Struthio camelus: one gene and its partner. The protein of the gene in region 1 interacts with the protein of each later gene in a biochemical or structural test. Links are inferred from orthologs where the notes say so. Each region holds a gene or a part of one and is shown on either strand. Other genes may lie near its edges. The genes, in order: SIK2 and CRTC2.

Region 1 (3,899 bases):
GGCAGCTTTAAATACAAAACTCCTATGTAAAGGGAAGATGTGAGACAGATGTTTAGTTCCTTGCATTCATGAACTTTTTCCTTTTGTGGCCAAGCGGTGGTCTCATTAGTGTTTGCGTCCGTGGCGCTCTGGAATACGGAGCGGGCCTGTAACTGCTGCTGAATGTGCAGCTGACTCGACAGACACGTGTGTGCCCTCATGCCACCAGCTCTGGGACATGCCTTGCTCAGTCAGCAGCACTGCAGGAAACCTCCGGAGGGCGATTCCTGTTACCTGGATGTCAGGTGGTGCCGATCTCCCAGGGTGAGGTGGGTCAGTCAGAGGGGAGCAAGGAGGGACAAGTGAGAACGGGAGGAGGGCAGATTGCTGAAAAGAGCATGGCGATTTTAGAAGCCAACATAACTGAATTACAAGCAGTGAAGTGAACTAGGTGGACTGAGTAGTGGAAGGGAAATTAGGTGTAAGAGGCCTTCCTCTTCACACACTACCACTGTCAGCTGTGTAACCATTTTATGCTGAAGGGGCCTCACTGCTTTGACATCTAAGTGATGGGAAATGCTGATGGCTATTTTGATATGTACAGGCCGATTACATTAAGGGCATCCTTCTGATGTAGGACGACTGTGGTGGCCTTGAAATGCTGTTCTCCGCAAGGGGAAGGGCATTTCCCTCCGGAAGCCGAGGATCTGGTCCTGGCTGGTGGTGATGGCCCCCAGGCCTTAGAGCTGTTCTTGAGGCTGTGGAGCAGGCTGGGAGCTGAGATGCTGATGCAGTGCTGGAGTGGCACCTGGGGGGGGGGGGGGGCTCCTGCGGTGGAGGAGCACCGGGGGGAGCCCCTTGGTTTTTTGTGGGTGGTGCTAATGTAGCTGACTCAGCCCTGCTGTGCACACAGGTGCGAGGGGCCTAGGCTTGAGGGCATGGGGGGGGGGGGGCCCTCTCCCTGGCCCCAGGGCTGTGACGGTGGAGGAGGCGGCTCCTTACATCTTGGTGGAGGGAGGTAGCTCGGGGTAGCGGGGGGTGCGGTGCCTTCTCTCCTTTCCTCTCCCCCTCCGCCCGGCCTTGCCGCGCTGCGGGGGCCGCCGGGGAGGGGAGGCCCGGCGGCCGCCCCGCCGCGGTGGCTCCGGTTGCCATGGCGAGGCCCCGCCCCCGCTGACGCGCGCGGTGACGCGCGGTTGGTGGAGGAGGGCGGAGGGGGCGGGGCGGCGCGGCTCCAGGGCGCCGCAGACGGACGCGAGCCGCTGCCGCCGCCGCTCGCGTCGGAGCCGCCGCCGCCCCCCGCGCCCAGCATGGTAATGGCCGAGCCCCGGCGGCCCCCCCCGCTGCTGCCCCGCGGGCCCGGGCCCGTCCGCGTCGGTTTCTACGACATCGAGGGCACGCTGGGCAAGGGCAACTTCGCCGTGGTCAAGCTGGCGCGGCACCGCATCACGCGCAGCGAGGTGAGGCGGGGAGATGCGAGGCGGCGGGGGCCGCGGCCGCCCCCTGCCCCGGCGCCGCCCGGCCGCCGCCGGGCCTCGCGCGCGCGCCGACCGTTGGGACCGTTGGAAGGGGGGGGGGGGGAAGCTCGCTCGGGCTCTCCTCGGGGCTTCGAGCTGTCTGTTGGGCTCGGCTCGGGGTATGGATGGGCCTTAGCGCTGTGGGGCTCGGCTCAGGGTTTCTCTGGGCGGGGGGGGGGGGGTGTTCACCTTTGGGGCTGTGAGGCTCGGCTCGGGGTGTGGGGTGGCCATGGGGCTTTGGGGGAGGGGGTGTTCGCCTTTGGGGCTGTGAGGCTCGGCTCAGGGTTTGGGGTTTTACAGAGGCGTAAGCTGGGTGGCTCAGCTGGGGGGGAGGTCGGCAGGCGCCCTTGCACGGCTTTGTCCCTTCTGGCGCAGGAACCTTCTCCTTTAGGAGAAGGTGTGAGGAGGGGGATTTTACTTGAAGTGCTTTGCTGTGAGCAGGCTTTGAAGGACGAATCATGCCTGCTTATTCTTATTTTTGGTTTTCCTGGCAAGGGCAGCAGTAACGCCTCTGAGCCCAGCTGTAGCAGGGTGTCCCTGTGGCTCCAGCCCCCCTCCCTGTGGCAGTGCACTTGCTGGTTTGTGGCTGTGACAGTAAGGATGCTGGGGGCTGTGTGTGAGGGGGTGAACAGCTGTTGGCATAGTTCATGAGGCACGCTGATCAGATAATGGTAACTTGCTTGCTGCTGATAAGGGAGGCTAAGATCTTGGCTTGTGGCTGGTTTGTTGTCCTGCATACATTAGTTTCCTCACTTGGCTAGTACTTTTAGATGAGCCGTAGTAGTCTGTTTTAGTGAAGGAACTATTTTTTATATATATATCTTGCTATGAGTCCTCCCAGTAAGACATGCTACAAATGAACCAAATCCAACCATTTTAGTTTTTCGCTGTTTTTGCTTGCCCCAAATGTTACATAGTGAGTACCAGCCTTGAAACTGTTAACCTTTCATGCTTCACCTAAAGCTATAATTATTGCAGTCTATTTGGGTAATATGTAGTCAGGTGCACTCTAAAAACTGCCATCTAATGGGAGTAATGGCTTTGAACGATCAGCTTCCTCTCATGTTTTCTTCTGAAATACTAGGGGTGAGCTCTTTGTCAGTCTCTGTGAAGATCTTTTTTGCTCTTTACTGAAGAGCTTTATGTGGTGCTTATACCAGTCAAAAATAAGGAAATTGGCTAATCAAAGTGTTGTCCAAAATACAAAGTAAACAAATTGAAAAAAACCTGACATTAAGCAGTTGCTGTAGTCTTCTCATATGACAGACTCATTCCTCACAAGAATGAAAACTGCCATGAGCTTGGGCTTTGGTTAAAGAAAACAAACCTCCAATGCTGATGTTGTTCTGGCTGTGCTGTGGTGGATGGGCTTTGCATCCTAAACATTAAATTAGAGCCATATTTCTCAAGTTGCACAATAAACTGCTAATCACTTTAAATCTTTCTCTTTTGTTACTGAAGAGCAAGTTAAGACCTTTGACGATTACCTGAAGGTGTTCTGTTCTCAAGTTGGATGCTATATGCCAAATTTCTAAGTATTCCACTTGAAAGCAGTAGGTTGTCCTTTTTAGTGGTGTTCTGTCTTATATATGGGCTTTATGATGAGGAGGAATACTTCAGTCTTGACCTTGTTATTTTAAGAAGTCTTTGTTTGGTATTGTTCAAAATAATGAGTATATAGAAAATTAGGAGCTTAACAGCTCTCTCATTCTGGTACGATTCTTCCACCTGTACCCTCAGAAATTCTTAAATTCCAGTACATTGTCATCAGTACAAGTTTGAGTTCTGTTAACCGAGTTTATCTTTTATGAGAAGCCTTGTGTACAGTGTCTAATCTGGAGCCTTTTTATTTCTGCATTATTTTTACAGTAAACTTGCCTATGAGACTTCTGTGTCAAACTTCACTTTTCAGTACAGTTACATTGCTGTGAATTTTTGCGGTAAGAGATGCAAGAATATTTATTTGGAAGTTAATTGCTTAGTTGCTCGAAGTATTGACGTGATCTTTGAGGAAGAGGAACCCTGTTCAGATCACTTTTAGTAACGTCAAGAGAAAGTAATTTTAACGGAATACTGCTTTGAATAAGCACCCCAAGTTTGGGACAACCTCACTTAATTTAATGGTAGCTGACTACGCACATAAGAGAGCGGGAGTCCCGCTTAATAACATGTCTAGATGGAAGACATTTGATTCTGAGACTTGTTCTAAACTGTTGGATATTAAGTTTGGCTTAAATTTCTTAAGTTGCTGCTTTCTTGTGTTTACTTATATGCTGCACATGACTGCCTCTATTAAACTTGCTATGGAAGAATATTTAGCTTATCAGCTGCTGAAACTAATGCCATCTCACCAATGAGTCTGTAGTACATGAAGATCTGTGCTGTGTTTCTGTTGAGACATGCTCA
Region 2 (3,899 bases), on another chromosome or scaffold:
CACTCGGTCTTCGAGGGGCTGGCCGTGGGGCTGCAGGAGGCCGAGGCCAAGGTGCTGGAGATCTGCCTGGCCCTGCTCATCCACAAGTGCGTGGTGGCCTTCAGCCTGGCGCTGAAGCTGCTGCAGGGCCGGCTGCGCCCGCGCGCCGTGGCCGCCTGCCTGCTGCTCTTCGCCCTCATGTCGCCGCTGGGCATCGGGCTCGGCGTGGCGGTGACGGCGGGCGCCGGCGCCCTGCAGCGCCTCTGGCGCAGCGTGCTCGAGGGCCTGGCCGCCGGCACCTTCGTCTACATCACCTTTCTGGAGATCCTGCCCCACGAGCTGGGCGCCCCCCAGCACCGCATCCTCAAGGTCATCCTGCTCATCGCCGGCTTCTCCCTCGTCACCGCCATCCTCTTCATCAAGATCTGAGATCCTCCCCTCCCGGCAAGCCCGGGAAGGCAGCCCTACGCAGCCCATTTTGGGTGAAACCCGGAGCTGGCGGCGCCCGCTGCCCCGCCGAGTCCCACGTGCAAGTGCCAAAGTGCCGCCCCAGCGGAGCGGGGCCGTCCCTGGGGCGAGCCCCTTCCCTGTGCCTTGGTTTCCCCGTCCGTCGAGGGGGAACGGTGCTATTCCCGGTCGGACCGCGGGGCCGGCACGCGTCTTCCCCCTGTGCCCACAAGTGCTCTTAGCGCGCCGGCGGGTCCCAGCGGTGCCCGCGTCCCCGGCCGCCCTCTGCCACCCGCGGGCGGGGGGAGATTTCGGACTGAAAAAGCAAATAAAGGACTCGATGCGATAGCTGTGCCCGGCTCCCTGGCGCCCAGCGTGGTGGGGACACTCGGGGGAGGCCTCCGGCCCCGGAGCGGGGAGCTGCGCGGGGGGCCGTGGTCAGGGTCCCCCCCCTACTCTGCTGCGCAGTGTGATCCTCCCATGCAGTACCCTCCCCTTGGAGCGTTGCCCCCCCCAGTATTGCCCCCATTGCGGTGCTAGCCCCCTGCAACGTTAGCCCCCTACGCTCCCCCCCTGCAATATTGCTCCCCTGCACTGTCACCCCCCCCACTGCCCAAGTTTGCCCCCCAGTGTCCCCCCCATGCAATATTATCCTGCTGAGCTCCCCCCGCATTTGCCCACATCCTGCAATGTCACCCCATGAAATATTACCCCTGTGCTTCTGCACCCCCCAGATGTGCCCCCTACTGTCACCCCATGCAATATCCCCCCTCCGCTGCCACCCCCCAGACGTGCCCCCTACTGTCACCCCCCATGCAATATCCCCCCTCCGCTGCCACCCCCAGATGTGCCCCCTACTGTCACCCCCATGCAATATCCCCCCCGCTTCCCCCCCCAGATGTGTCCCCCCGCAGTACTGCCCCCCTCTTCCGCGGGGGGGGGGGGGAAGCGCGCGGTGCACGCCGGGAGTTGTAGTCGAGGCGGCGCTCCCCACCCCGCGCAGTGCGGGGGGCGCCCTCCGGGGGGGGGCCAGGGACTCCGTTTCCCGCCGCTCCTTGCGGCGGCGCCGCGGGGGCTGCTGGGAATTGTAGTGCGAGACCCCCGCGGCGCCGCGGCGCCTCCCGGAGCGCGGACTACCCGCCCCAGCGTGCCCCGCGCGGCGGCGGCGGCAGCGGCGGCGGCGGCGGCGGCGGCCGGAGCGGCCCGAGCAGGGAAGATGGCGGCGGCGGGCGCGGGGGCCGGGCCCGGGCCCGGGCCCGGTGCGGGCTCCTCGACCGGCGCCGGCGCCTCCAACCCGCGCAAGTTCAGCGAGAAGATCGCGCTGCAGAAGCAGCGGCAGGCGGAGGAGACGGCGGCCTTCGAGGAGGTGATGATGGAGATCTGCTCCACCCGGGTGAGCAGGCACGGCCGCGGCCTCCGCCGCCGGATGCGCGCCGGGCCCGGGGGCGGCGGGGCACCGCCGGGGCCGCCCCCGCCGCAGCCCCGGGCCGGGGGGCGAGGGGCTGGCGGGCCGGGGCAGCCGAGACGGGGGCCGGGGGCTGCCGGGGGCCGGGCTTTGGGGGGGCGTAACCGGGGGCGGCGGGCAGGGGCGGCGAGGGGGTGCGGAGGGGCTGGGGGTCCCGGTGGGGACAGGGGGGTGCGGAGGGGTTGGGGGTCCAGGTGGGGACAGGGGGGTGCGGAGGGGCTGGGGGTCCAGGTGGGGACAAGGGGGTGCGGAGGGGCTGGGGGTCCAGGTGGGGACAAGGGGGTGTGGAGAGGCTGGGGGTCCCGGTGGGGACAGGGGGATGCGGAGGGGCTGGGGGTCCAGGTGGGGACAGGGGGGTGCGGAGGGGTTGGGGGTCCCGGTGGGGACAGGGGGGTGCGGAGGGGTTGGGGGTCCCGGTGGGGACAAGGGGGTGTGGAGGGGCTGGGGGTCTGAGGGGGGAATGGGGGGGTATGGAGGGGTTGGGGAACCAGGTAGGGACAGGGGGGACAAGGGGATGTGGAGGGGTGGGGGGGCAGGTGGGAACAGGGGGGACAAGGGGGTGCAGAGGGGCTGGGGGAGTCAGGTGGGAACAGGGGGGACAAGGGGGTGCAGAGGGGCTGGGGGAGTCAGGTGGGAACAGGGGGGACAAGGGGGTGCAGAGGGGCTGGGGGGCGTCAGGTGGGAGTCAGGGATGTAGAGGGGGTGGGGTACAGAAGGCTGGGGGGCGTTGTATGGGGGGGGCAAGGGGCTGGGTGTCCAGAGGGGGCATAACGAGGTGCAGAGGGGGTGAGGCACAGGTCGGGGTGCAGGGGGGTGTTGCAATGGGGCGGTTGATGCGGTGGGGCAGGGGGCACCGGCAGTGAGTGCCCAGCGTGGCAGGCGGTGGGGCTGGATGGGGCGCCACTCTGGGGCTCTCCCCACAAGGGTGGGCAGAGGCCGGTCTCCCTTTGAAGGGGCTGGGAGATGCAGAGAGGACCAGGTGCCCCAGGGAAAGCTTAGTTCCGGTAGTGCTTGCTTCCCGGTGCCTGACTGGGCTCCGGTTTTCCTTTTCTTTCCTTTTTGTTTGTTTATTTGTTTTTCTGTTTTTGCTGCTGGGTTTTTCTGCACGGGTTTGCACGTGGCTTGTTCTGGTCTGTGGCTGCTGTGTGTGGGTCTTGGTGCGCACCGTGCACGTCCTCTGTTTCCGTGTGCTGAGTTCACGTCCTGGCAATCAGATGGAAAAAGCGACTCTTGCCGCCTGTGGCGTCTGTGTGACTAAGGGCTCGGCAGGTTCACGAGGACTCTCGCTGACAGTTGTCTTTCCACTGCTCTGGGGGAGAGGAGGGGTCCTTGTGCCCACGGCTCCGGGATGGGCAGTTGCCTCCAGGCTCCAGCTGTGCCCGCTGGGTCTCAGTCAGCTCTGGGTGCTGGGAGGGCCCTGGCTTGGGATCACGGTTTCCAAGTCAGAAGTCCTGGTAGCAGCGCTGCCGTGTGGAAGTCACCTCTGCTGAGCGATCTTCTGCTAGCTGCAGGACCTGGGAGGCTTCTCCGTGAGCACCGGGGATTCTCGGTGTATTGGGAGCTTTAGGCTGAGCATTGCGTTAGTCTTTCCCGCCTGTGCGATCTGTAGGACCGTGCAGCTGGCTCCCACGGGAAGTGGCGGAAGCTTCATCCCTAGAGACACTTAAAATTAGATTGGCCAAAGCCTGAGAAAATGTAGCACTGGGAGCGGCACTGCTGGCTTGGGCGAGCCGGCTGAGTGGGGCTTGTGGGACGCGCCTGCGTCTGGTCTCCTCGTCTGTGCCTGCAGTGGCCAAGATTTCCCCATTCGGCAGCTTCTGGGGGTGGGGAATGAGCGTTGCTATCCTGTGCTGACCCAGGGCTTCCCAGAACGGGGCCAAAGGGATCTTAGGAGAGGAGCCGAGCGGTGCTGCTCTTGGATATTTGGGGGCTGGTGGTGAAGAAGAGAGGCCAGGAACGCAGCCGCATATCTCCAGGAACGTGGTTTCCCATGCAGGGGAAACTATCT

Evidence for each region.
Region 2: of the proteins of SIK2 (region 1) and CRTC2, one has a biochemical effect on the other in vitro, tested with the Homo sapiens proteins (2 studies listed by BioGRID). The link is inferred for Struthio camelus from reciprocal best matches to the Homo sapiens genes SIK2 and CRTC2.

What each region holds. Positions count from the first base shown.
Region 1 is NC_090963.1:2,873,009-2,876,907, reverse strand, and holds the start of SIK2 (serine/threonine-protein kinase SIK2), read left to right. Parts: upstream 1-1,196; 5' UTR 1,197-1,286; coding exon 1,287-1,436; intron 1,437-3,367; exon of another isoform or gene 3,368-3,433; intron 3,434-3,899. UniProt on the Homo sapiens protein: Serine/threonine-protein kinase that plays a role in many biological processes such as fatty acid oxidation, autophagy, immune response or glucose metabolism.
Region 2 is NC_090971.1:4,535,926-4,539,824, forward strand, and holds the start of CRTC2 (CREB-regulated transcription coactivator 2), read left to right. Parts: upstream 1-1,627; 5' UTR 1,628-1,642; coding exon 1,643-1,819; intron 1,820-3,899. Other genes in the region: SLC39A1 (zinc transporter ZIP1), read left to right, coding at 1-408. UniProt on the Homo sapiens protein: Transcriptional coactivator for CREB1 which activates transcription through both consensus and variant cAMP response element (CRE) sites.